Linked DNA regions of Mus musculus: all the other regions are reported to be linked to region 1. The links are microRNA targets in miRTarBase. Many come from high-throughput screens and were not tested one by one. Region 1 holds a microRNA gene; each other region holds the end of a gene's coding sequence. Distances are from middle to middle.
Evidence for each region. Region 1 holds the annotated microRNA mmu-miR-3470b (UCACUCUGUAGACCAGGCUGG, at 2,232-2,252, shown strand). A microRNA usually pairs through its seed, bases 2 to 8, with sites in the 3' UTR of a target mRNA and lowers its output. Matches are read on the target gene's strand: a 7mer-m8 pairs with bases 2 to 8, a 7mer-A1 pairs with bases 2 to 7 and ends in A, and an 8mer does both.

Region 2: the mRNA of Psmd9 is a reported target of mmu-miR-3470b. Seed matches in the 3' UTR shown: 8mer at 2,130-2,137 and 8mer at 2,438-2,445.
Region 3: miRTarBase lists Dtx3l as a target of mmu-miR-3470b. Seed matches in the 3' UTR shown: 8mer at 2,025-2,032.
Region 4: the mRNA of Pla2g2d is a reported target of mmu-miR-3470b. Seed matches in the 3' UTR shown: 8mer at 2,074-2,081.
Region 5: the mRNA of Chek2 is a reported target of mmu-miR-3470b. Seed matches in the 3' UTR shown: 8mer at 3,200-3,207.
Region 6: the mRNA of Pik3c2a is a reported target of mmu-miR-3470b. Seed matches in the 3' UTR shown: 8mer at 2,367-2,374.
Region 7: the mRNA of Iws1 is a reported target of mmu-miR-3470b. Seed matches in the 3' UTR shown: 8mer at 2,170-2,177.

Annotation. Positions count from the first base shown.
Region 1 is chr16:44,011,654-44,015,720 of GRCm38, forward strand. It overlaps Mir3470b (microRNA 3470b), which reads left to right and starts at 2,199; the gene lies at 2,199-2,324. It overlaps Gramd1c (GRAM domain containing 1C), which reads right to left. Exons shown (of 17, transcript NM_001359085.1): 6 at 1,269-1,384.
Region 2 is chr5:123,247,609-123,251,675 of GRCm38, forward strand. It overlaps Psmd9 (proteasome (prosome, macropain) 26S subunit, non-ATPase, 9), which reads left to right. Exons shown (of 6, transcript NM_026000.2): 6 at 685-2,518. The coding sequence ends at 712. Among named protein-coding and RNA genes, the nearest start is that of Wdr66, 4.1 kb to the right of the region's middle.
Region 3 is chr16:35,926,018-35,930,084 of GRCm38, forward strand. It overlaps Dtx3l (deltex 3-like, E3 ubiquitin ligase), which reads right to left. Exons shown (of 5, transcript NM_001013371.2): 5 at 498-3,351. The coding sequence ends at 3,282. Among named protein-coding and RNA genes, the nearest start is that of Parp9, 10 kb to the right of the region's middle.
Region 4 is chr4:138,779,792-138,783,858 of GRCm38, reverse strand. It overlaps Pla2g2d (phospholipase A2, group IID), which reads right to left. Exons shown (of 4, transcript NM_011109.3): 4 at 1,807-3,611. The coding sequence ends at 3,466. Gm32871 (a long non-coding RNA gene) reads left to right here and starts at 3,495. Exons shown (of 3, transcript XR_390866.3): 1 at 3,495-3,825.
Region 5 is chr5:110,872,892-110,876,958 of GRCm38, reverse strand. It overlaps Chek2 (checkpoint kinase 2), which reads right to left. Exons shown (of 15, transcript NM_016681.4): 15 at 2,819-3,479. The coding sequence ends at 3,393. Among named protein-coding and RNA genes, the nearest start is that of Ttc28, 4.9 kb to the left of the region's middle.
Region 6 is chr7:116,336,514-116,340,570 of GRCm38, forward strand. It overlaps Pik3c2a (phosphatidylinositol-4-phosphate 3-kinase catalytic subunit type 2 alpha), which reads right to left. Exons shown (of 33, transcript NM_011083.2): 33 at 763-3,710. The coding sequence ends at 3,528. The region is part of intron 1 of Gm10589 (a long non-coding RNA gene); the gene reads left to right. Among named protein-coding and RNA genes, the nearest start is that of Rps13, 4.4 kb to the left of the region's middle.
Region 7 is chr18:32,097,011-32,101,077 of GRCm38, reverse strand. Iws1 (IWS1, SUPT6 interacting protein) reads right to left here. Exons shown (of 14, transcript NM_173441.3): 14 at 1-3,928. The coding sequence ends at 3,797. Among named protein-coding and RNA genes, the nearest start is that of Iws1, 31 kb to the right of the region's middle.

The DNA.
Region 1 (4,067 bases):
GCAAGAGAGAGCCAGGCACGAGGATCCTGCTCCACATTTTCTTAGAAAACAGTCACCCGGAGAAGAAGACAGCTTCACTGGTGACCTCCAATGTGCATGAGAGACTCGGTCTAGATACGTATTCTTTCCTGCTTCAGACGCTACGAAGTTCACAGGTCAGCAGAGACCTTGAAGGCCACTGAATCTAACTGTTCATAGATGGGGAAACTGAGGCCTGGGAATGTCCAAAGGTTTGCCTGAGATATCTCAGCTACAAAGCACAATCCAGATCCTATTGACTCTCAAGGTCCCAAGGCTCTCCGCGTTAGTAACCTGATTTTCTACACCTTTTCGGTACCTAAGGACTACTAGTAAACTTTATTAATGACAGCAGGGTAATGGAAAAATGTGAACTTTACAGGAAAGTTATAAAATATGCATGGGTAGCCATGTGAAAAAAAGACTATAAAAATATTGATGTAAACTGAGACAACATAGGTTGGAGCAGACTGCCCAGAGGAGAGGAGCGTCTGTGTATGTATTCAGACTTTCAACATATTTACATTATAAGATTTGGAGGGCTGCAGAGATGGCTCAGCCGCTACCCGATAGGCAACCAACCAAAAAGGCAAATGGTCCTTGGATCTTGGCTTCTCTCATTTAGCCTAATGTAAAATGCTACAGAATTTTAATGTATTATCTTTGTTTATTGAGGCTATGGTCTCAATTAACATTGATAAGGTACATTTTTTTTTAACTTGGAGAGTTAGTAAAATATTCACACTTCTTAATGAACAGCTGTCCAAATAATCTCTCTACTAATTTCTTTATCACACTATAGCAGCACATGACCCTGACATTACCATTGCTTGCATCCCCCACGGCACGGTCAGCTCCTTTGACTAAGGTGATCGGTGTCTACTGAATGTGGGACACATGCCACGGTGCTAGGGAGACTTTGAGGAAAAGTCATGAAACCACCCTAACCCTCAAATTGCTCTAGTGTCTCCTGTGAGATCTCACCAGCCCCTGCTCCAGATCCTTAATAAAAAGGCTTTCTAGTAGTAAATTCTAAGAGTCATAGCCTCATCTCTAACATTTCTTCACGTCCCACACGTGCTTACCAACTTAGCAAATGAGTCTCTTCTCTCCCAACTTGCACTCTACCAACAAGAGGGCAAACCGCACCAAACGATGAGTTCAAAGAAATTCAGAACTGAAACGACCTACAATGATCCCACTGTGATGGGCCATAATGCACCTTGACACTCTACGTTGCTTCACTGTACCTTGGCTGCACATTTTCTTCAACTGATAACAAGTGTTCCATTTCTTCAGCGTTTAAGCCTAGCTCCGTGCCATAGTTCTGCTGGAGCAGTTGCCAGAACTCCTGTCTGGTCAGGCTCTAAGATGACAGAAACATTGCGTGACTATTGGAAAATGCAACAGATAACGTAACTGTAATTCAAAGCACAAAGGCCAAAGTCAGAGGAGCCGTGGTGTGAGCAGTCAAGGTGTGGCTCGGATAGATCCTGGCCTATTTGTCTCCCTATTTTCTATTTTTAAAAAAAAGGGTTAATGGGAGCTGGGCATAATAGCTTAGTGGTTGAGAACTGCATATCATCCACAAGGCTCTGCAGAGCTCCATCCCCATCGCTGAAAAGGAAAGGTTAAATATGCCCATTTGATAAGAGACATTCAAGAGGAAGTCCCATGGATAAGAGCACTGGCTGCTCTTCTAGAGGACCTGGGTTTGATTCCCAGCACCTGCATGGTGGCTCACAACCACCTATGACTCCAGTTCCAGGGGATCTTCTGGCCATCTCAGGCGCACGAGTGGTGCACAGACCTATATGTAGGCAAAAATGTAAGAATAAATAATTAAACCAAGAGTTAAATCGATAAACAGATAATCGTTTCTCACAGGGTTTAACCACATTCTCAAGGCCGATCTTGGGCTTGAGCTATTCTCCAAAGAAGTTGAAACTAAAAGGCACATTCCACTTAGAAAATGGTGGGTTTTCAAAGTGTGTATTAAAGAGGCTACTGTGCAGAAGTACACTTCAGTAAAGATGCTTAAAGTGATTTTTTTTCTATAAAAGTAAGTTACTTATCATTTCTGCTAATTACTGATCTGAAATCCATACAACCTATGATCACAATTCAGAGTTGTCCTAAATGTTAACTCAGAACCAAATTTTTTTTTTTTTCCGAGACAGGGATTCTCTGTGTAGCCTTGGCTGTCCTGGCACTCACTCTGTAGACCAGGCTGGCCTTGAACTCAAAAATTCACCTGCCTCTGCCTCCCGAGTGCTGGGACTAAAGGCATGCGCTACCAATGCCCGAGAACCAAAACTTCTAATTCACGATTGTATCTGAATATTTTAAGCATTTTTAGAACTTTGCACACCAATGAGCTCCAAATTACATTTTCCTAAAATATAAAATGCAAGAAAACAACCTTCAGAATACTAATTTACTTTTAGTAAATTCTAGCTTGCTTCCTTTATAGACAGCATGTCAGTGGTAAAGTTACCAAGTACAGCCGAGAAATGTACCCGTGGTTAAGAGTGCTTGCTGCTCCACCAAAGGACCAGTGGCCACATCCTAGCTCCCACATGAGGCAAGTCACAAACATCTGTAAATCTGTAACTCCAACTGACACACCCTTCGGGATTCCATGGGCATCACACACACACACCGACCCACTTAAAAAAAAAAAAACCTTAATCACCAAATAAAGCAAGCTGTAAACTATTTGGGAAAATAACATCATATCATAGTAACAGACTGGTCTCCGGGAACATTGCAATTAATTACATGATTAAGCAAGACAAGAGAGAGAGACAGCATGGTACTTGAAGCAACTGTCAATACGATCTTCCATCCATTCCACAGGTCTTTATTGGGAATGAAACCTGTGGCACCGCTCTAGATCCAAAGGGTATAAAAACAATCTCCGAATTTAGTACTCATGTCTGAAGGATACAGGGCACTCTTAAATCAGATGCACATGATCATGTGCTAATGGGCTGGAAGAGTCTATGGGATAGGGAAGTGCAAAAGGAGTTAATATTATTGAGGACCAAGGTGGCCAGATGAGGCTCCACCGAGGAGATAGGCTTCTGGGTAAGCTAGAGGACAGACGGATTCGTGAAGAAAAACTAGAAGAGATGGAGAGAAGACGACCAACCCATAGGGAGGGCAGAGATGGACAGAAGTAACATTAGTTATGAAGCTAGCAAGTAAGTCATCTCCTAGCCCAATCAGAGAAATGTTTCAAAGTTAAGAGGTTGAATGTAAAAATATATAATGGGGCCAAATGTATAAAGGCCCTGAATTCAGCCCCGGTGTTCAGCCCCTACAACAACCACCACCGCCTTTCCCTCCTCCCAGGAGCAGCTCTGTGTCCTGGTTTTTACTAGATGACTCTCCTTACACTTCATGGAACCAGGGAGCTTAAAAGGAAAATGGTCTGGACTTGCGGCAGCTATATCCCAGTTTGCCAAGATGACCACAAAACCAGCTGATGACAATTCAGATGTCATTATCTACACTTCAAAAATGTCAAAAATATTCAAAAACCTGCAATAAAGGAGGCAAGCTAAGAAAAACATGCCTCTTTGCTTCCAGCTGATTATGTGAACGCGGAGTAGAAATCCCAGGTTGGAGAACTCTAACTGAAAAATCACACATCTAGAAAACAAACTCTGCGATGCTCTCTATTTCCTACAACTGTCCTTTTAGCGGATGAAGTCTTCTCAAGTAGAATATCCAGAGAAGAAAAATATAAAGGCCCATTAGTGACAGTTAAGGATGCTCCTGTCCTTGGTCCTAAAGGGACTCGCCTTCTACCCCAGAGATTCTGTGTGGATTCTGTTTTCATAACAATAATTCATACTGTGAATTAACTAAGTCTTCCAGAGACATCATCATTGGAACCGTTTTCATATCGCAAAAGGATGGTTAGATAGCTTTACCAGAAGAAGGCGATTTTTCAGCACAACTGTGTTAGATTATTAACCGTTCACAAAAACTTTTTTTGAAATAATAGACGTTTCCGAAGATAAAAACTAAAGCAAACAAAT
Region 2 (4,067 bases), not on the chromosome of region 1:
GCTCAGATAGAGCTGGGAATGCTGGTACCCATAGAGAGTGTGCTCAGATAGAGCTGGGGATGCTGGTACCCATAGAGAGTGTGCTCAGATAGAACACTCAGGTCCACTAAAGGATAGCCATCCCCAGAGTGCAGAAACTGGTGGTTAATAACCGTTTTTATGAATGAGGCTACAGGCAAGAGTCCTCAGGTCACCTGAGAGTCTCACTTCTCAATCCCTGGGCATTGTCTTTAAGAGAAAGAAAAGTGACCAGTGCTCAGCAGGTAAAGGTCTTTCTGCAAATCTCTGACCTGAGTCAGATCCCAGGACTCACTTGGTGGAAGGAGAGAACTGACTCCTGCAGGCTCTGCGTGCCACACACCCAGACTCTCTTATATACACAATGAAACACTGTAAAATATACATTAAAAAATACAATTCTAGCCGGGCAGTGGTGGCGCACGCCTTTAATCCCAGCACTCGGGAGGCAGAGGCAGGTGGATTTCTGAGTTCGAGGCCAGCCTGGTCTACAAAGTGAGTTCCAGGACAGCCAGGGCTACACAGAGAAACCCTGTCTCGAAAAAACAAAAACCAAACCAAACCAAAACCAAAACCAAACAGTCTTTAAAAGAGAAGAAGTGTTCACCTGCAGGTTTCCTAGGCTGGAGCTGTCAGGCTTGAGCCGGTCTCTGTTTTCTCTTACAGCTGCAACATTATTCCTCTCCAGAGATGACTGTTTCCTGGGATCTGCCTGCAGGAAGCTGCCTCAGCTGGCCCCGTGCTTGGGCCTGGAGGCGTTTCCTCGTTCTCTAGGCTCCCTTAAGTGTAAGGATCTGGAGAAGAATGGTCGAAGCCTGGGCATCGAGGTGGAAGAGACGCTTTGGCTGCCTGATGTAATCTCTCTGGGTTGAGGCATTATTAAAAGTGTGATTTGTGCCTAGCTACGTCTTGTGCAAATTAGGCCATAGCCTGTCTGGGAATTCTCTAGATTATGAGCCAGTGAGTGGGGATGACTCTGGCGAGTAATGATTTGATGTCATTTTCCTTTTGGAGACGGACTCAGTGTGTAATCCTGACTATCCTGGAATTCCCTGTGTAGACCAGGCTGGCCTTGAGCTGACAGAGATCCCCCTGCCTCTGCCTCATTAGTATTGGGATGAGAGGCATATACTGACATGGCTGGCTAGACTCTGAGGAATATGTATTATACATATATAATTTATACTTATTTTTGAGAATTTCGTACATGCACATAGTACATTTCTATATTTCCTGTCATCTCAAGTCCCTCTCAGACCTCCCCTCGTACCCACTTCCCAGGTTCTTGCCCTCTTTTGTTTTTTTTCTTTTTAAATAAATAACCTACTAAGTGCCATTTGTGCTGTCAGTATATTCATGGTGTGGGATCTTCCACTGGAGGAATGTGGTCAACCTTCCAGAGACCACACCCCTAACCTCCACAGGACTTGAGTACCCCTACTTTTTCTTGGAAGCAGGGTCTCATGTAGCCCAGTCCAGCCTCAGATTTGCCTTGAAGCTGAAGATGTTCTCTTCTGCTGTCTCTCCCTCCAATGTCCAACTGCAGTATCACCCACCGCCTAGGGGTGGGGGCTTGCTGGAGACCGGATCTCACAAGTTCAGACTGGCCTGGAGCTCAGTGTACCCGCACTGGCCTTACCCTTGGGATCTTGCTGCCCTGGTCTCCTGGTATTATAGTGTATGCCACCAAACCTTGTTACAGGTTAGAGAAACTGTCAGATAAAGCCAGTCTTGTAGCTGTGTGATTGTGACCACTGTCAGTCCCACCAGGATGCCCTGTGAGCTCACAGCCAAGCCCAGGAGGAGTTGGGAAGGAAGTCCTGCGAAGCAAACGAGTTCCTGGGCCGCAGTCCGGTTGATTCTTGGGTGGGAAACTGAAAGCCGGAGCTCAGACTCTAGGCAAGTGTCCCTCCGTGGGCTGAGCAGCTGGCAGTCTCTACCCTGGAGCAGTGCTTTGAGAGCCTGATGCATCCTCTGAGGCTGAGGCTGTGGAGTCACCGTAGCCCCATTAAGAAATCAGCAAAGACCAGGTGTGGTGGCTCAAACGTTTTAATCCCAGCACTCAGGAGGCAGGGGCAGGCGGATTTCTGAGTTAAGGCCAGCCTGGTCTACAGAGTGAGCTCCAGGACAGCCAAGGAAGGCTACACAGAAAAATTCTGTCTCAAAACAAAATTTGCAAAGGTCACAGGTCACGAGGCCTTGCAGGTTACCCAGTATGATATTGGCTTCCTCTTCAGTAACCCACTGGAAACCAGCAAGCTTCCTTTACTTCTACAGTAAAAGACCCCGCAGATGGGCCTGATTTGGCTTTTATAGTTGAGCCTCCCCACCGGGCGGTGGTGGTGTACACCTTTAATCCCAGCACTCAGGAGGCAGAGAGAGGCAGGCAGATCTCAGAGTTTGAGGCTAGCCTGGTCTACAGAGTGAGTTCCAGGACAGCCAGGGCTACACAGAGAAAACCTGTATGGAAAACAAAAATAAAACAAATTTAAAAAACAAACAAAATTGAGCCTCTTGGGATCAGCATGGGAAGCTAAGGAGTGCTTGCCTGTTGCTGAGGTGACTGCATTGATGGATGCTGCTTTGCTGCTTCCTTTCATATTCTGTCTTTTGAGATGGTAAAATTGGTGTGGGTGACTCTGTTTTTCTTCCTTTCTCCATGTGCCCCAGTTATCTCCCCAGTTGCCTCCCGTTTCTGTTTTGGATGTCTGGTCCTTTCTACAAGGAAGCTTGCGTCCTTGCATTGGATTTCCGCGGGATGGAGGCAGAGACCAGCTTTGTCTGATGGCAGTCAGTACTGACATGTGCTTCCTGCTTTGAGTCCGCACACACAACTCAAAAGCCTCCCCTAAGCTGCTTCATCCAGACAGCCTCACGCCACCCCTCTCCCGTAGCCAGACTGGCTCTGTTTACTAGGGTTTGCTGTTTCAGTTGTGGGTTATAAATCCAAGTATTTTCCAGACTCTTTATAAGTCTCACACTGTAATAAAACACAGCTTGTACCATTCAAGAGATAGGCATGTGATCACCAGCACTGGGGCGTGGTGTGGTGGTGGACTTGTCCATAGTCATTCATATCCTCTCTAAGAGGCTGCAATAGGCCTTGCACTGCTCAGAAAGCCACCTTTGGGCTCCCCTATGACTTGCTTCAACAGGAATAACGCTAATGGATTTTTTTTTTTTTTTTTTTAAAGATTTATTTATTATTATATGTAAGTACACTGTAGCTGTCTTCAGACACTCCAGAAGAGGGAGTCAGATCTTGTTACGGATGGTTGTGAGCCACCATGTGGTTGCTGGGATTTGAACTCTGAACCTTCGGAAGAGCAGTCGGGTGCTCTTACCCACTGAGCCATCTCACCAGCCCCAACGCTAATGGATTTAACCAAGCTGGGCTTGCGTGGTAACAGCAAGATGGTGCACTCTCCACATAACTTCAATCCCAGTTTACTAAACTTCTCTGCATGCTGTGTCCTGGTGAGAAGGTGGGCAGTTGTGTGTAACACCTGTGAGGCCAAAAAAATTGGGTTTTAGCACTGGGAGAATTTTATTAACTGCTTCATACCACTTCTTGCCTGGCTTCCTGGAGAGGCATGAGCACACATCTGTTCACCTTGCACTGATGGCAAACTGAAGGAACCCACCCAAATCAGCCCTGTGAGCCCGTGAGCCTCCTGGGGTTGCTTAGAGGCTCTCTCGGCACTATGGATATACAACTCGCAGGCAGCTAGCTCCACTGAAATCTCCTTTCACACAGTAAAGTCTTGTGTAGTCCAGGCTGACTGAACAGACCCTTCTGGCTTCATCTGCCTAGTTCTGGATTTGTAGGTGGGACATCATGCCTGGCCCAACGTCTAGTTTTTTGTTTTGTTTTGTTTTTAAGATTTATTTATTTATTTATTACATGCAAGTACACTGTAGCTGTCTTCAGACGCCCCAGAAGAGGGAGTCACATCTCATTACGGATGATTGTGAGCCACCATGTGGTTGCTGGGATTTGAACTCGGGACCTTCGGAAGAGCAATGAGTGATCTTAACCACTGAGCCAT
Region 3 (4,067 bases), 8.1 Mb from region 1:
GTAGTTCCAAGAGATCTAGATGCTCTCGGGCACTGCATACATGCAGTGCACACACAAACTTGTGAGCAAAACACGCACATGCATAAAAGTAAAACTCCTTTGTTTACTGAGGGGTGGCATGGTACGCATGTGCCAGTCAGGGGTGCCTAGCAAGGGCTGGTTTTTGCCTTCTACTCTGTGGGCTCCAGGCATCAAAACCAGGTTGTCAAGTTTGGCAGCAAGTGCCTTTACCCTCGGACCTAGCTCACTGGCTCTGTGGTCTACTTTTGTCTCTATAGCAACCTAAATTCACTAGGCAGAAAAAATATGGAGAAAAATGATTTTTTTTTCAATCAAAAGTGAAAACAATTAAAAGAGTTGTTTTGAGATGTTGGAGCTACACAAACACCAACCTAAATACCTCCACACACCACTGCATATTGTATGTGTCATAGGAAACACCCAGAAGTCCAACCTAAGGACACAGTAACAAGGAATGAGGGAAACCACACAGTCTGTTGTATGTAAGGACCTGACTTTATTTAATGCAGATAATAACACCTTGCAAAAGAAAAAAATCCAAATGTCATTGAGCCCTCCACCACGTGGAATTTGCATGTGCACACTGGATGAAATAAAAGATCCAGAACTTAACAGAAACCATTTTTTTCTTCTTTAGAGTAAATTTGATTACAAGATTAGAAGACAGAAAATGATCAGTTGGTCTTAATGATAAACACTTGGTGAATCATCCAAAGGGAAAGGTCCGAACCGGATGCAGAAGGCAGCTATGATGGTGCAGGCCTTGCACTTGGAAGGCTGTGGAAGCAGATCCTGAGAGCTCTGCCTAGGATACATGCAAGAACCTGGGCAGGAGGTGAGGCAGGAGGGTCAGAGTTCAAGAATAGCCTTGGCTACATAGGGAGAGGCCAGTCTAGGTTACATGAGACCCTGGCTCAAAAAAAAAAAAAAAAAAAATCTAAACAAACAAAAAAACCAAAATGGGGATGAAAGTAAAAGTTAGCACTTCTACTTATTGGTTATGTCACCCTCAGTGATTGACTACTGTGCTCTGTATATGAGTTTTCTGTTCAAAGAATAGAGCTATTAATCAGATTGATCCCATCAATGTTAAGTACTTACAGGATAAGTACTTGATTAATACTTCCTATTAATATCTGGCCAAAATGGTTTTATGTATGTGCATATGTGTCTTAAGGAGAAGGTTAGGGTGTCATCTACCATTTTGGAGAGTGGCTGGAATACAGATCACCAGGTCATTGCCTGCTGTGGTTTTCTTCTAACTTGGAGAACCACTTACAGTGAACTGTGATGTGCCATCCAGACTCTACAGTAGGTTGAACTTTCTCCTTTACTCCTGTCCAGGGAAAGGATTAGAAAGACTATATATGAGATAACAGACTGCTGGGATTCGCTCAAAGGATTAAAAAACAAAAAGCCACTACATTGCAGGTAGCAAATACTGTGAAATATTAAACTAAGGGAAGGCTATTTACCCGTTAAAACTTGAAACAATATATATTCTAAAAGTACAACATAATGTGTAGGGAAGAATATAAAAACTATGTTGCACTTCTGTGGCAGGGCAAGTGCATCCTCTAGGACAGGTTCCATGGATCAGGGGAGAGTAGAGCCCAAATTCAAGGCTTAGTCAGTGTCTAATCAGTACAAGTTGGGGTAAGAAAACTATTTTCCAAATGAATGTCACGGTCTCAAGTCATCTCTCTCCCGAAGATTTGGGGAACATATCTTTTTATCTATTCACTCCTCTGCTGAGCTACTAGCATCTTGAGTCAGGCAGTAGTCACACAGTATCTCCTAGGCTCTGTGTCCTGAAAAATATAAGTCTTTTTGTTCTATTTATTACCAAAAGTTGCCTCATCTCCTGGAAACTTCTCTTGCTATGGGTAGGGAAGGAAATATGAGTCTTTTCCAGCCAAACCTGTTTGTTGTTGTTGTTGTTGTCTTTTTTTTTTTTTTTTCCTAGACAGGGTTTCTCTGTATAGCCCTGGCTGTCCTGGAACTCACTCTGTAGACCAGGCTGGCCTCGAACTCAGAAATCCACCTGCCTCTGCCTCCCAAGTGCTGGGATTAAAGGGGTGCGCCACCACGTCCGGCTGCCAAACCTGTTTTTAAAGTTCCCATTTATACAAGGGTTTCACTTTCCCACTTACACAAGGGTTCAGGAAGAGATTAAAAAATAAACAACTAATGTATTGCTACAGAGATGGACATGAAAAAGAATTATGGGATGGAACTCACTGGCCTAGGGTTTAAATTCCAACATCAAAATCAAATCAAGCCGAACTAAACCAAACCAAATCAACCCAAACCAAAAAAGCTAAAACCAAAACCCCCAAACAAACAAACAAACAAACAAACAAACAAAAAACCAGGCAATGCCAGCACTCAGGAGGCTGATATAGGCAGATCTAAGTTCAAGACCAAGCTGGTCCACAAATTGAGTTCCAGAGCTATGCAGTGAGACCCTGTCTCAAATAAACAAAGCAAACAAAAATCAGGGAAGGTTCCATTATGTAAGGACATAGAAGATGATTACAGACTCACCCAACACCCCAACCGTAACACAAGAATGACGTCAGATTTCTTCAGCAAAAATTGAAATCCTATAAAACTATAAAGTTTTCTTTTCTATCTCCCCGCTCCCCAGTGTGTGTGTGTGTGTAGGTGTGTATGCAGAACAGAGGATGATGTTAGATATATTTGTTTCTGTCTTCCTAATATTTGTTTTGAGACAAGGTCTCACTATGTATAGCTGGCTGTCCTGGGACTTGGACACTGTAGACCAGGTGAGGTCTGGAACTCAGAGATTGCCCGCTTCTGCCTTCCAAGTTCTGACATTAAAGGCATGCACCCCCATGTCCCGATCCACCTTATTTCTTGAGATAAGGTCTCTCAGTGAATCCAGAGCTCATGGTTTTAACTAGGCTAGTTGGCCAGTAAGCTCCAGGAATCCTCCTGTCTCTACTCACCAGTGCTAAGATTACAAGTGCATGCCAACACACCAGGCTTTTCCATGGATAATTTCAGATCTGAGCTCATTTCTTCATGCTTTGTAGACAGGGCCATTCCCCCCAACCTGTGCCTGTAGAGTTTGCCTTCCATGAAAGAGTGCCAGCCACTCTAGAAAAGACTGGCAAACAGACTACTTAACATGAAAAATGTTACAAAGTCGTTCTAGAAACAGATTTTGGTCTGTACTATCCAGCCTCCTGACACATGTCTTTTGAGAGTGGACAGACATCTTCCCTGCAGTTTCCTTACTCAATGCCTTTTGCTTTCAGCTCCTCCTTGACACGTTTCAGGTAATCAGGATCAGGGTAGCCAAAACTGCAGGAAGAAAACAAGAAACACTTTAGCTTCTTCCCAAAGAATTCTTAAGAATGTGTATGACAGCTGGTTATTGTGGCACAGGTGCGCAACACTCAGGTGACACAACAGTCAGAGCTCTATGAGTTTGAGGCCAGCCTGAGCCACATAAGGAGACTTTGCCTCAAAACAACAACAAAAACTGTAGGTACTACTTACATTTGAGCATCTAGTATTCTGGGTTCCAAACATTCTCCGGCAATCCAGACAGTGACTAATATCTAGTCATCCAAGTGCCTGGCTGGCTGACCAGCATCTGTTTTCTAGACAGATTGCTTAAATTCTTAACTTATTCTAAGTACTGATGCACATAATGTTATAACTGTCATATTCTACAGAGGCAGTAGTAGTCATACACTTATGGGCAAACACACCAGAAGAAGGCATTGGATCCCATTACAGATGGTTGTGAGCTACCATGTGGTTGTTGGGAATTGAACTCTGGACCTCTGGAAGAGCAATCAGTGTTCTTAACCACTAAGCCATCTCTCCAGCCCCTGTGGGCTTTTCAAATTGGGGGATCTGAAAAGGCTTCATGATATATTTCTTTTGGATGCCAGAGGTAGAGGAATTCAGTCAGATTTCCTGGAATATATCTCCCACCATCTTGGGACCCTTTATAACTAAGACTTCTGCTACCATATATTAGTCTTGTGAGTTCAGTATCATTGTGGACT
Region 4 (4,067 bases), not on the chromosome of region 1:
CCCCTGGCTTGCTCAGCTTGCTTTCTTATAGAATCCAAGACTACCAGCCCGGGGATGGCACCACCCACAATGGGTCCTGTCCCCTTCATCACTAACTGAGAAATGCCTTACAGCTGGATCTCATGAGACATTTCCTCAAGGGAGGCTCCTTTCTCTGTGATAACTTCAGCTTGTGCCAAGTTGACACAAAACCAGCCAGTACATCAAGGATGAACTTGAACAACTCCTCCTCCTCCTCCTCCTCCTCCTCCTCCTCCTCCTCCTCCTCCTCCTCCTCCTCCTCCTCCTTCTGGTTTTTCAAGACAAGGTTTTTCCTGTGTAGCCCTGGCTGTCCTGGAACTCACTCTTTAGATCTGATTGGCCTCAATATTAGAGAGATCCACCTGCCTCTGTCTCCTAAGTACTGGGATTAGAGGTGTGAACCACCATCACCACCACCAACAACAACCGGCAACTTTGAACTTCTAATCCTCCTGCCTCTACCTCCAGAGTGCTGGGATTACGGTTGTGCGCTGCAATACCTCATTTTATTTGTTGGTGAGGGTTGAACCCAGGGTTTCATACATGCTAGGTAAGCACTCTGTTGTCCGAGTTACATCTCCAGATTAATATGGCTGATGTCTTACCCCTTTCTGATTTACCTTGTAGTTCCTCTGCAAGACTCTCTCCCAGGCATGAGATAAGTATTTATCATTTTGTGCCTTGCGTCTCTTGCTGAACAAGGTGGTTTCTGTGTGTGTGCGCAGTAAGATTCTGCCATCTGGCCAGAGCATTTGCTCAATAGAGGGAGCTGCTACTTTGTAACTGCTCTAGACAAGGCACGGGCTTTCAAAGCTGATGTCCGCAGACCATCCAAGTGTGGACCACGAGCGGAATCTGCACATCTTCTCAGGGACAACTAAATTCATGGAAGTCTAAACCAACCAGGGTATCCCTCCTCTCTTAAGCTAGCTCAGGCTCAGGGGGGCTCGTCCCTAGGGGAAGTTGGCTTTGTGGTGGAAGAGGCCAGGCCACTTCAGTGTCTAGAGGTCTGGAGAACCATGGCTGCTATTGGAGCCACGGAGAGCCTGCCCAGGAGGAAAACTGGCAAAGTGAGTGAGCGTAGCCCAGCCAGGGGCAGGAGAGAAACCAGGCTCTGAAGACATCTTCAAGCCACCAAAGAGGCAAGCCGGGAGCCAAGCTCTCCTCACCCTACCCCCACCATACCCCCAATTTCCAGCCTCCCCTTGCTTTCTTTTTCTCTTTTTTCTCTTTCCTTTCTTTTAGTCATTTTCTTGTCTCAGACTTAGACACCATCATGCCTAGCCTGGACGTCTTTCTCAGCAGACTTTAAAAATAAATAAAGTGACGGTTTTAAGTTCATTATAAGCTCCGTCTCCAGCACAGTTTCCTGCTCTCGCACCCCCCACCCCCACTAAAATGAGCATTTCAACTGTGGGGATTTGAACCCAGAGCCCATAGCGGGGACTTCTTTGTACTCTGCCTCACTGGGGTTTTAAGAAAACTTCTCTGTCTTGTTATGCTGAGTCACAAGCTGGAGGGTGTGGGCGGTTCTGGTTCCCTCAGCCCTGAGGTTGGAAACACAGCTATTCACACAAGAATAACAGATGTTCTTTGAAACAGTTGTTGCCAGGCAAATAACTGCCGGACCTGCTGGATGGGATACCTTTTGCCAACCTATGTTCTGTTTCAGATGCTACTTCAGCTCGGCCAACCATGGGGACCTTGGTGACCCCTGAAGGAGACCCTCTCATAGTGGGGCTCCCTCCCAGACCCTGAATTAGTCACAAATCACATCCAAAGACCGGTTTTCACAGAGAGACCTTTTATTAAGCGGTGAAGAAAAGTTAAAGTGGCTATTTTCTGACTCAGACAGAAAAACAGCAGCAAATGACCTTGCAGGTGTAATTTATAAGAATCGGGAAAAGGGGAGGTCTGTGTTAGAATGGGCTGGGTGCCTTGGTATGTTTTGATTGGGCGTATTGGGTGAACCAAAGAGGGCCTTTTTTTTTTTTTTTTTTTTTTGATTTTCGAGACAGGATTTCTCTGTTGTAGCCCTGGCTGTCCTGGAACTCACTCTGTAGACCAGGCTGGCCTTGAACTCAGAAATCCTCCTGCCTCTGCCTCCCAAATGCTGGGATTAAAGGCATTCACCACCACTGCCCGGCCTCAAAGAGGGCCTTTGATTGCTGGACTTCAATACTTTGATAGGGGACCTTGGTAGTCAGCCTAAGGAGGAGAAACTGGCCAAATAAGGGAAGAGACTTTGGGGGCTAGCTTTAGGAATGCAATCTAATGTTTTGTTGTTGTTTTGTTTTGTTTTGTTTTGTTTTGTTTTGTTTTGTTTTGTTTTAGCAAGGCAGAGAGAATTGGGGAAAAGGGGAAGGCCTGCCAGAGCCATGCTTGCCAGGTCTAGGCTAGCTAGAGTCCCTTCAATGCCAATAGCTGCAGGGATGAAGGTAGGCTGGGTCAGTTTGAGCCAGAAAGGATACTCAGCAAAGCTATCCCTCAAACCCTAGTCCCCCTTCCATGTTCATATGGGAAGCTGATCTTCCAAGAATTCTGGCTCCTGAATCTGCCACTAATGAACACACTTTCCTTAGCTGCAGCAGCTAAGGAAAGTTCTGAGGTTTGTAATTAGGCCGGTGGTTCTGGGAGGGAGAGAGGTCATGGAATTTATAAATGTTGCTAAAACGTGTTTCCCCAGAGGTGGAGCCTGAGTCAGGGGCTCTTGTGAAAGTTGTTTATTAAGAGGGCTCTTTGGAGAAAGTTTCCAGAGAAAGAAACCAGGCCTGGGATGAGACAAAGTACTGGAACATCTATCATCCTGGTCTCAGGAGAAATGTGGGCTGTGATGCCACCCAGACAGTCCAGCCCAATGATGTCCTTAGCGCTGGGGAGAATGGCTAGCCAAGAGAGGCTTCCAAAGGACGGCCCCGGAGCCTGAGCTATTATGCAGCAAGAGATCCCAGCGAAAGCACAACGGGCAAGAAACAGCAGGCCAAGCTCCAGGACCCACCGAGTGCAACAAGACTGCAACTTCCCCCACCCTTAAATCCCGTTGTTGTTGGAGCCCATAATGGGCTTGGTTCTAGGGGACTCCTGAATCAAGGTACCACCAGAGGGTACCACTGAATCTGAAATGGGGCAGGGCTGAACCTAGAGGTCTCATAGCTTAGTTGGGGGAGAACACAGCATCAGAGGGCTGAGCTCTGACCTTGGTCCAGAAAGACCAGAGTTTGAAGGGAGAGGAGTGTCACCGTTAGAAAGATCAAAAGGGTCCTTTACAGTAGAAAGGCACCAAGAGGAAGTCCTCAAGGCCAGGCCCTTTTGCAAGGAGACCTTGAAAAGCCAGCTGGTCCAGGAGACTAGACACCAGAGTGGGAGGCAGCAAGCTGCAGGACTTCAATGCTTGAGATGTCCCAGGACAGGGTGGAATCCAGGGGACAGACAGAGTGGACTCCCTTAGCATGCTGGAGTCTTGCCTTTGCAACGGGGCCGCCAGTAGTAACGCAGGCGCTTATTGTAGCTATCCAGGTTTTGCTTCAAGCACAAGGCCACCTCCTTGTCACAAGCACACAGTTGCCTTTCACACCAGCTCCCGTTGTCAGCTGTGGGCAAAAAAAACAGGAACGGCTCAGCATGTGTCCCTTCCCGAGACTGCCTGTGGGGTGCAGAAGGGGTCCTGAAACCAACGTGGTGCTTGGTCATCTTTGGAGATAGCCTCTTTGATTGGATACTCTGTTACCTAATCTCGCGTCTGCACACTGAACAACCGTTGAGCACCGTTCCGGGGCTTATGCTAGAGGGAGAAAGCTGAACCAGGTGAGCAGGTGGGAAGGCAGGAGGCAGAGGGCCACAGAGTGAATGAACATGGCCAAGCAGAAATGTGGGGAATCTAAGCCTGTAGGAGGATTAGGCATGTCAAGGAGCCATCCCCAGCTCAGACCACCGCTCCTCCTGAAAGCTGGGGTTGCTAGCGTCTCCACAAGGAGAGCATCTGTGTTAGCTTCCGCGCGTGCGCAGTTCCATTAACCTTAAGGTGAGGTGTTACAGGGCCTGATCGT
Region 5 (4,067 bases), not on the chromosome of region 1:
TAACACATCAGTACCCAAATCCCTTTGCCCCCATCAGGGCTGCGAGAGAAGCAGGTAGCTTCACCAAGGCCATGGCTCCCTCATTCCTGGACAAGGTAGCTAGGACAAGGGCAGGGTCTCCCCGACAGTTTGAAGGGGTGAGGAAAACCATAATAAAACATCAAATAAATTGAACAGGAGTCCAGCCAAGGTCCCAGCCAGAGCAGAACCTGACTGGGGGAGGGGCCTCTGTAGGCTCATGGATCACTGCTGCTGCCACCACCACCACCACCCTGGAAGCCAGTTATTTTGCCATGGCCTTGATTGCAACAGCAGCCGCCTCCTCTGTCATAGCAGACAGCACTGTGATCATGGATGGAGTTTCCAGGGGAGCTCTGTGTGCATTATTGGAATATTACTAAATGCATTTTTTTTATTTAAAAGGTCTCAAAATTAAGATGAGTTCAACTCAAGATGGAGTTTGCTTTTGGTTTTGGTTTAATGTTTGGTTTATGGAGACAGAGTTTCTCAGTCCTGGCTGTCCTGGAACTCACTCTGTAGACCAGGCTTAGCCTCAAACTCAGATCCACCTGCAGCTGCCTCCAAGTGCAAGGATTGAAGGCGTGGGCCGCCACCATGCTGCTTAGCTACAGTTTTGAGGTACCATAAGGATGTTGGGAATTGAACTCAGGTGCTCTTGGAGGAGCAGCCAATGCTTTTCAACTTTTTATTTATTTATTTATTTTTGTGAGTCTCACATTATGCACCTGCACCCCAATCTCACTCATCTCCCCGTCCCTTCACATCCCCCTCTTCCCTTGCAACTTCCCCACAAACACACCCCATGGAGAGCATTTTGACACGGACACTATAGTGTGCCAGGGTGTGTTCTACAGTATACCTACCCTCTTGTCCACACATCTTGCAAATGTTCATTGCATTTAGTCACTGGTCTGGTTTGAGTCTTCTTGCTTCTGCAACACTATCAATACTGGATCCTCACAGGACTCCTCTTAGTTATCCTGTTGTTGGCCTGGATCATGGAAATCCTGCAGCTTTGGATCTGTAGGACCAGCCCTTGCACATGCTCCAGCAGCTCATAGATGAATTAGATTTTGGGGTGGGACAACTCAAAGCGCTGGATCTGGGTGGTAGCTGAGACAGATGGCTAGCCCACCAGCTCTCTCATATCTGCACCACCAGGGCAAGCTTTCTAGCACTGCCCTTGCTAGCTCACCCAATACTGCAGCTGGCAGTGAGGGGCTGGGCCAGCTCTCCCACTCACTCCCTCAGAGCTGGCTGTTGCCCAGACAAGGTGCAAGGCCACTCTCCCAAGTCCTGCCTGTTCTCATGACCTAGGACCTGCCTCAGGTGTTGAGGGATGGGGGAGGGCATCTCCACTGCACCCATGTCCCATCATGGCAGTGGGGCCAGCTCTGTGCTGCTCCTGCAAGGTGGAAGGCCTGCTCTCCTGATTGCTGCAGCCAGTCAGGGGTGGGGCCAGCTCTGGATATCTGGATATCAGCCCTTGGATATCTATGAGGTCTCTCCCACACAGCAGCCCAGACCAGGGAGGTCTGCATGGTCTATGTAGTAATATGATCCAAGAAATCAACAGGCCCCTGCTACTACATGACCACAGACCCAGACATGACCCGCAGTGACAGCATGACAACCAATGCTCTTAACCACTAGAGAGACATCTCTATCTCCCCCCTTACTTCTCTATATGTCTACCACATGGATGGCTGGAGGACCCAATTTAAAGCAGCACTCTATCACCTGCCTAAAACTGTTGGTGGGGTGGGGGTGGGGGAGATATTAATATCTGAATTTAATGTAGCCCCAGGAGTTTAGAGATGTAAACTGTACAGGACTGAGCATAATTTCTGTGTTTTATCCATTTTTTAAGGCAAAAGTCTCACTATACAGTTCAGGCTGCCCTCAAAGTCAATATCTTACTATTTCTGCTTCTCAAGGTCTGGGATGGATTACAGGAGTGTGAGAACCCTAAGGGATATGAATTTCAGACTGGCCTATAACAGGCAGCAGCACCATGGGCTCCTTGGCAGCCAGCCAGTACAAATCACCCAACATCCAGATGCCCTTTTCTTTCCAAGGGACTGAGTGTGTGTGTGTGTGTGTGTGTGTGTGTGTGTGTGTGTGTGTGTGTGTGTGTGAGAGAGAGAGAGAGAGAGAGAGAGGGAGAGGGAGAGGGAGAGGGAAAAGGAGAGGGAGAGAGTATGTTTAGAGAGAGAAAAAGAGTTTAGAGAGAAAAAGAGAGTTTGGAGATAGAAAGTTTAGAGAGAGAAAAAAGTTTAGAGATGAAAAGAGAAAAAGTTTAGAGAAAGAGAAAGAAAAGTTAAGAGAGAGGGAGAGAGAGGGAGAGAGTGTGTTTAGACAGAGAAAAAGTTTAGAGATAGAAAAAAAGAGTTTAGAAATAGAAAGTTTAGAGAGTTTAGAGAGAGAAAAAGAAAGTTGGGAGATAGAGAAACGAGAGAGAGAAAGAGTTTAGACAGAGAAAAAGTTTAGACAGAGAAAAAAAGAGTTTAAAGATAAAAGAGAAAGTTTAGAGAAAGAGATTGTTTCTCTGTGTACCCTGGCTGTCCTAAAATTTGCTCTAAAGATCAGACAGGCCTCAAAGTCAACTCAAACATTGTCCTGCCTCTAGAGTGCTGGGATCATAGGTGTAGATTACCATGGCCAGTGGGACTTGGACCTTCTAAGGGACTTTTAGAATTTGTATTTAGACGGATGAGCCTAAAACCAGAGTGACATCCTGATAGGGCAGACTGGCAATGTGAGGATCCAGATGAAAAGCCACAACAAACTACTAACATTGTTTTAGAATATTCTTTTTAATGATTATGTGTTTCTGTGTACATGAACACATGTGTAGTAGGTGACCAGAGAGGCCAGGTGAGGGCATCCGATCCAGAAATGTAGTTACATGGGTGCTGGGAACTGAACTGCAGCCCTCAACAGGAGTGGTGTTAATCTCTCAACACCACCCCCTAACATTTTTCTTAAAATGAAAGAAAGAAAGAAAGAAATCTAAAGTGCAGGTCATCAAACAATCAGCCCAGATTTCCACGTTTTTTAATCGTGTATCTGTGATGGAAAAGCAATTGTTCCATCATATAGGCTATTTTGTTTTGTTTCTTGTTTGTTTTTTTTTCCAAGACAGGGTTTCTCTGTGTAGTCCTGGCTATCCTGGAACTCACTCTGTAGACCAGGCTGGCCTTGAACTCAGAAATCTGCCTGCCTCTGCCTCCCAAGTGCTGGGATTAAAGGAGTGGGCCACAACTGCCTGGCTATATTTTTTAAAAAATATATACATATAAAAAAAAGATGTCAAGATGGAGAAGACAATTGGAGCGTGGAAGGAAGCACATTTCTTTCACATTCAAAGCTCACAACACAGCCCCACACACAGACAGGCGTTTTGTGCTCGGCATACCCTCCACCTCCAGTTCCAGGGGCCGCTTTTGACTGGAAGTCTGGAAATAAAGCAAAAGGAGAAGTGTTTAAGAGAAAGCACAGCTTCTATCAAAGCTCCTCATAGTTCAGTAAACTAGGGGCATTTCATGGAAATGACTAGTTGTCATGACAACCGAATCCTCCTCACACACCTCTGGAATCAAGATGCTTATCCATGCTCCCTGGCGATTTCTAACCACTAATAAATGTACAGCCACTTAAAAAAAAAAAAAAAACCTTTCAAGTGACACAAAAGCAAGTTCAAATTGGATCTTTCCTAGCAAAATTCTGGGTGAGGTATGATTGTAAAGCAGCCAGAGCTCCCGGCTCCCACAGGGTTACCAGGGAGCTCACACACGCTACTGTGCCACACCAGCTATTATCGTTAAATGCACTTTCTATTTAAAATGCCTCCATTTGAGATGAGTTCCTCAGAATATGATCCCACCGTAGGCTGAAGTATATCCGAATGTGGACAGCAGGCAGCACCAACAGCTTTGCTTGGTTGCTGTCTCCTGACACTGTCTACTTATAGCTACTTAGACTTTTCCTATTCATAAATTCAAGAAAGAACAGTAAGGAAAAAGGATCGAGATCACTGACCAAAT
Region 6 (4,057 bases), not on the chromosome of region 1:
TGCCCAGAGGCCAGAAGACGATATTGGGTAAGAACTAGAGTAATAAGCACTTGTACTTTGTACTGGGAACCAAACTCTAGTCTTCTACAACAGAAAGCCATTGTAGCACTAAGCCATCTCTCTAGCCCACTACCTGCAATAGTTTGAACTCTAGTACCGGCAAACAGCTTGGCACTCAGGCAAAACTCAGTTATTTCAAAGGATAAGCTTACATAAGCCATCTCTCTCTCTGAAGATTTTGGGAGCCAGAGGCTTTTTATTTAATGTATGAATGCTCTGCTGCATATAAATCTGCCCACTGGAAGAAGTCATCAGATCCTCTAGTAGATGGTTGTGAGCCACCATGTGGTTGCTGGGAATTGAATTCAAGACCTCTGGAAGAGTAGCTAGTGCCCTTAGCCGCTTAGCCATCTCAACAGCCCCTTAATTGTCCTTTCAAGGTCTTTATACTGGTTTTTTTTTTTCCAAATTATTAGAATGGTTAGAGAGCCAGTCTTGTGCTCATAATCCAGAATAAAGGTATGGTGTTAATTTGCACTTCCGAATGTGGCTAAGTGAACTTTCACAGACCAAGAACCATGCCTACAGAATTCACATCTCAGGAAATGATAGGCTGTAGCAGATTATCTAGACCTTCAAAGAATCACATTCAAATTCAGGATAAATTTTACAAACTCCTGGGTAAGATGCAATAATTATTAAAGTTTAAAACCAAAATACTGAATCAAGAAGGAAGGAAATGACAGCCAAGTTCCTTTATTTCAGAAATATTTTAATTGTAGTATAGTTATGAAGTCACATTTAATTCAATGAATATATTCCAAGTATTAATAAAAATATTATACATCTTAACTCACTATGCTGATATAATTAAAGCATTTTCTTCTTACAGGCGACACTAGTAATCACATGTATGTTTGCATTGCTGGTGAACAGCGTGTAAGTAAATGTGTATCATAATAGCAGGTCTTCAGTGTTTGTTTAAATCTGAGTTATCAAAAGTGAATTTTTTTAAATGTTACAATTCATGAGTCTTAGAAAGAATTAAACAATTTAAGGCAAGATTTTGAACTTTATATACAACTTTAATTTGAAAAAAAAGTACTTAAAAAAGATACACATGCTTTAACAACTCATTCCCATAAACACAGTAATATAAAGCATTGGTGCCAGTCTCATTGGATTCCTCAGAGAAAACAGGTTCTTGGGATGAGCGATCATCTTCAGATCCTAGAGCACTGGCAAGAACAAAGAATTCTGGCACAGGACTTGTATGTAGCAGACTTATTTTTACTTGAAGGTAGTTATAAATATGATATACATAAACATTAGTGTCTTGGCCTGTCTAGCGTTCTCGTTTTCCGATGTATTTTAAGGTGACTGTTAAGAAGCTCTAGAAGCCAGCTGACTATGGTGACTGCAGCCGCAGTGCACAGAGGCTACGTTCTTCCTCCCTATCACTGTTTTTTTGGTATGGGCTGAAGATTAGCATTTTACAAAGAAATAACTTACATTAAAATATATGTATTCTAATGACCAAAGAAGGCACAAATTGAGTAAAATTAAGAGACAGTATCACCTTTTGAATTCTTGTTAACTATACAGTATTACTTATAATATATACTTTTAGATATTAATCAGATTTCTTGTCACTGAAGTGACATTACATTTTTAATTCTGTTTCTGCTAAGATACACGGTAACAGATCACAAAAAGGTCCACGAGTCCAGTCAATGACGACCTTTTACAAACAGCATTTTTTTAAGTCTGGGTGACCCATGGAATGGAATTAGGTTTCTCTCAAAAGAAAAAAAATATTCTAGTGCTACTTACATCTGCAAAACTATTTAAGGAAATGTTAATTGTGGAAAAAGCAAACAACGGTGCTTAGATCTTCATTTCAATTATCAAGTAGACAACACAGTTTAATATAAAAAATTCACATACTCATACAGGTTTCCCTACAAATGGACCATAGTGTTAGGCACCAAATATTTCAAGTTTTGATTTTTTTTAAAAAATGTATTCCAATGATAACACTCTTAACTCTTAATTTAACTCTGTAAGCATCATCATTTCTGTCAATCACTTTGTACAGTTCATAAAAATTTTATTCTAGCGAACTGAATCCGATTGTCCTTTCTTGGTACCCTTCATTAAGTAGTTTGTCAGTTTTCTCTTAACTACCAAATTTGCTACATCTCTATTACCTTTCTAAAAATATTTGAACTTCTAACCAAGAAATTTATTATATATACATGTTTATCAAAACTAAACAAAATTATGTCTGAAATGGGGAATAAAAATGAATCTTTTTTTATTTTTTGAGACAGGGTTTCTCTGTGTAGCCTTGGCTGTCCTGGAACTCACTCTGTAGACCAGGCTGGCCTCGAACTCAGAAATCCGCCTGCCTCTGCCTCCCAAGTGCCGGGATTAAAGGCGTGTGCTACCATGCCTGGCTTTAAAAATGAATCTTATTCTTAATGGCTACTCCACAGTAACTTCACACTTCTCTCTTGCAATTTTCATTTCAGTATATTACAGAAAATAATTCTTTCATGTGAATGTACAATGTTTCCAAATACAGGACAGTTTACACAACACCTTCCATAAATGTCTAAATTAAACTCCTTATCCTGCCTGAGCACGTTACCAAACAAAATAGGGAATAAGGCTGAACAATTTCCATTTGTTTAATGAGGGAGTAAAGTATAAATACATGGAAGTGAAACTCCAATTTCAGTTCACACCCTTACAAATGATAATGGAATGATAGAATTTAGAATACTAATTTTGAATATCAATCTCATTCAATTACGGGGCAATAAACATTAAGTTAAATAGCTTAATAGTGAAAACAACCAGAAGTAGAGGAAATAGTATTTCTGTGGAGAAACCATTAGTAAATGTGCATGACTTGCTGTCCTCAGTAAGGTGAAAATGCATGAAAACTACTTGCTCTTTAATCAGAAGTAGAGTGCCAGTGAAGCATGTAGTTAAGTAAGGCACTGTTATTTACAACTTCAGTCATTGGCACTTACTCTGAAAAGGCTTTAACAATGAATAAAAATCGTATTTTTTTCTATTCTATAAACGACTTAGTAGTTCTCAGCATTCTGACTACTATTTGTGCTTTGCGTTTCAGCCTGTTGAGTAGCAGCTGCATCTTTCCTTTGGTGTCTGTGAACATACACAGTGGTAAAGGCTGTGAGGTGCATAACAAAAAACAATTTGCTGTGTCTGTGTAGGAAGAGTACAGACAAGGTGACCAAAATGACACAGTATTATGTCAAAGTCTTTTTCAGGACTTAGTATATATTAAGTTTGGGATTGGTAGCACTCAACAAAATAACTTTGAAATAGCAATGGCTTCTATAAAAGTTAGTCATATGACTGACAGTTGGTCCAACATGTTAAGTTTATAATTTCTGCCAAAGTATGAAATTATACAAAGTTCCCAAGTGTGTGTATGTGCGCATGCGCACACATTTATAACTCCTTGTTTCCAAAGCTCAGAAGTCGGAAGTTTATAGATACGTTGCCGCAGTCAGCTGATACCACTTAACTGTCTCTTTGCTCAAGTTGAAATCTTTCAGTGGCAGGGTTATTCCACCCAAGAAGAAATTCTCCCGCAGTGATTCTGCACTGAGTACACTCAGTTGAAGTTCTCTCTGCCTCAGAGTTTCTTTGCTGTATCCACTATATACAAGCTAGAGGAGGGGAAAAAGGATAAGGATTGGTTTCTTGGAATCTTTTCAACAAAATGTAAGACATCAGTCAAAAAGTGATGCAATGAATGGCACTGACTAGAGCAGCAGAAGCATGCTTTTAACTTCTGGTCTGTCAGTGTTTAACTCAGACACTGGGTAAAGTAGGACCAATCACTGTCAAAAAACAGATCCCCAAACTCTCAGTCATGGTTTCTGTGAGCTGGAGTGACGGGGAAAGAAAAAGAAATTACCTGGTGATTACCTTAAGGTGATCTAATCGCTGGAGAAAAAAAAAGAGGATAGATGGAAAGCAAGTTTGATAATATAATTTTAAAATTATCTTCCAA
Region 7 (4,067 bases), not on the chromosome of region 1:
CAAATGTAACCCAATCTCTGTTGAAAACCCAATGACAGCTATACAGACAAGTCATACAAAACCTCAAAGAAGCCCAGAGTCCAAACATATCGAATGGAAAAGTGGAGGGGCCCAGAAGGATGGCTCTTCAGGTAAAAGTGTGGGCAGTGCAAGCCACATAACTCAGGGGGAAGAAGAACCTATTCCTGAAAGTTGTCTTCTGACGTCCACATGCAGCTGTGGGGCAGGCACGTACATATTCATACACACTTTCCCCTTCATTTCAAGGAATCCCAACAACCAAAACAATACTGGAGTGAATAAATCATATTACTTGACTTCAAATTTTACTATAAAGTTCCTGAAGTAAAAACAGGATAATGAGGATAAAACAAAACAAAATGAACTAAAAGTCTGGAGCAAAATATACAAGAAAACCCTCATACTGTCAGATACGTTTTGATAAGGGATCCAAGAGCAGTAAGGGTCAGTCTTTCAACAAAGATGTACAGAAATAAAAGTAAACTTTCTACAACATAAAATTATCTCAAATGGATCAGACTTAACAGTAGGGCCAAAGTTACAAAAGTCACTTAAAAAAGCACAAGGCAAAGCATTATCACCTATACATAGAAACAGGCTGGTGAGATAGCTCAAATGGTCAAAATCCTTGCCACTAAAGTCTTGCAACCTGTCTCATCCTTAGAATCCAAGTAAATAAAGGTCGAAGGCAAGAACTCCATAAAATTGTGATTTTCCATATGCATACCATGGTTCCCCTCCCCCCATAAATTAAATTCTAGGTTCCTAGAATAGTCTAAATCAGAGGCAGAAAGCAGAATGAACTTGTCAAGAGCTGGTGGAAGGAGCTAAGGTGTTTGTTGTTTGAGGCAGGATCTATGCAAGTCTTAACTGGTCTGGAACTCTCTATAAAGACTAGGATGACTTTGAACTCTGAAATTGTCCTGCTTCTGTCTGCTTAGTGCTGGGATTAAAAACGTGCACTACTGTGCCCAGTACAGCTAAAGTTTGTAAGATGAAGGTGGCTCATACCACTGTGAACCCAGTCAATGCACCTAAGCTGTATGGTTAAAAGTGGTAAAGATACAAATCTTTTGCCAAAATTAAAGCATTTTACAAACAAACCAAAAAACAACCCAAACCAAAAAGTGACTACCCAGCATTCCATACAAGAGGTCAAAGTTAATGTGGCCAATCTTGAGACGAACTGTCAAGTAGCCCAGGCTGGCTTTGTTCTTGCCATGTAGCCAGGCCAGGTTGGCAAGGTGACAGGCCAGATATTTGTGGTACTGGGGATGGAACCCAGACTTAGTGCGTGCTAGGCAAGCACTCTACCAACAGAGCTGTATGATCTAGCCCCTAAAAACCATGGGTTGTTTCTATTCTCAGACAGGGTTTCTCTGTGTAGCTCTTGCTGACCTAAAATGCAATCAAAGCAGGATGGCCTCAAACTCAAGAGATCCACCTGCCTCTGCTTCCCGAATGCAGGCATTAAAGATGTGCACTGCCCCGCCACAAAACATGTTTTTAAGAGAAATATGCTTAGATATGGAGCTTGAGAACAAAGGTTCTTGATAAACTATACTCACATGCTCTGCAAAAGAAATCTTGGATATAGAATATAAAATGTGGCACACTGAAAAATATTGAAGGGTAAATGGGAGCTAATTTTAGTGTTCTAGAAACTATAGTAAATGGAAACTATGAAGGCAATGAATGGGTCAAGCTTGGGGACCCCCCCCCCCCAATCCACACAGCAAAGGTAATTTATAAAGAAATTAGCATCTTTCCCTTCAAGTAGTGCAGAACCATCTCCTTCAATCAAGGGCTTATCACCTGCTGGTTATATTTACTCCCATTAACATGGTGTTACGTGAAGCTCATCCCAAGACACCAAAATAACTCTTAAAAACTTGCTTTACATGTCAGAACTGTTTTGAATTCATTAGATGCTTTTATTGTTTTTAGTTAATGAAATTAAACAAAGCCAGAGGTAGTTTTTGCCACCACCTAGTCTGTAACTGTTGGCTCTGTAGGTTTCTGCTTCACACTCCATTTGCTCTTGCATGCTGAGTGTACTTTAATGAGGCTTTATGAGGCTCTTTTCTTTTTTCTCTCTCTCTTTTTAAAAGACAGGGTTTCTCTGTGTAGCCCTGGCTGTCCTGGAACTCACTCTGTAGGCCAGGCTGGTCATGAACTCAGAGGTCAGCCTTCTTCTCCCTCCCAAATGCTGAGATTAAAGGTGTGTGTCACCACACCAGGCTTGAGAGGTTCTTATGGAGTGTTCTAGTCCATGAAGTCCACATTCCTTCAATTGTCCAAAGGCCATTGTGGCCAATAATAATCTATTTTTTTAAATCAAGGCTCCAGTTTGTACTAGAAGAGGACTTAAGTAATGAATGAGTTACTGATAAAACTTTCTTGATCTATAGAAATCTCTCATGATTAAGAATTCTCAAAACCAAGTAAGAAACTATAAATAGTTTCTCCTTTTTCTATTTGTCCAATTGCTATATGTAACTAATTTTCAATTATATCTGTATTTTCTTAACTTTTTCTCCCCACAGCTTAACTCTTCAGATTTAAACAAACAAAGCATCTCTAACAAGAGAAATAAAAAGTATGCTTGTTGTATTTCCAACTCTACTGAGATACCATCTTTATTTGAACAGTCTTTGAGTAACTCAAAGTTATTGTTGGAAGAGCTCCCAAAATTCCTGCCTCTGCCTCCAAAGTGCTGAGATTATAGGCATATACAGTGGTATACAACACAATTCTGATACCAAATGCTCGGTGTTAGTGTAAGAATTGACAGTTCTAGGGATCAGATTTCCTCCACAAGACTGTCCCAACTTCAGACATAGACTGCAAGTGATATCTTTAGACCATGAAAATTCCAGGGTAGCTATAAACTTCCAGGCAAGTTCCCAAGAATTTCTTGGTTTAAAAACCTGCTGAATGACTCATAGAACTTGGAAAAGCACTATGTCTTTCAATAAAAGGTTATACTTATAACTGATCTTATTAGAAAAGATACAAATTAAGCCAACCAGGTCAATGAAGATTCAGGAGTAGTATGGAGGGTGGTGCAGAGCTTCTGTGCCTTTGTTCTCTTTGCACATCAACATAGTTGCAGTATCCAGAGCAGTTAAGAGTCTTGCCATGTAATCCAGGCTAGCCTCAAACTCATGACCCTCTTATTTCAACATCAGTCTCCAAAATGCTGGGATTATAGGTGTGCAAGGCACCTGACTTGTCCAGAGTTCTTTTCTTTACTATAGCTTCAATACAAAGGTATGGCTGGTTAATCAAACAGGCAATACGACTAGGTCAAGCATATTTCTGCTGACCAGTCTTAGAGCGAACTTAGGGCCCTACGATGTGCCAAATCAAGAGTATAACAAAGATAGTTCAAGAATTGTAAAGGTTTGAGATATTCCTTGTCAGGAGCCAGGAACAAAGGCCAGACAAATTCCTCATATCATACTTACACACTGAAACGGACTGGCTTTTGATCTCACAGAGAATAGTGTCTAAGACAATGATGAGACAACCCCCCAAAACCATAATGAAATTTTATTACGTACAGTTGATAGAAGCAGGAGTAGTAAGTACTCTTCTGTACAAAGCAGACAACTGGTCTTAAATACAACGGAGAGAAATGTTAGTCCTACAACAACAGATGATACAAATCGAACCATTTAGAGACACACTAAGACATTTAAAATTATCTTCTTTCTCCATAGTCCACTGTGCATTTCTTTCTTTTAGAGATGGGGACACGTCCCAGGCAAGATCACAATGGCATTTTATTGCCCTCGATGCTGATTTTCACTGCATGTGCAGATCTGCTTTTTTTCCTGATATCTGTGAACTTTCTCATCTGTTTATCCAGTCGACTGATACCTTTCTTGGAGGATGCCTGAAACTAAGATTGGGGAAAATTGAAGAACAAATTATTGAAATATGTAAATCTAGCAGTGAGAAGAGCCTGAAACTTAACAATAACCAGAACATGCTTTGGTGACAAGAACAAAGTGTTAGGAGAAACCTACTGAACTCTCAGT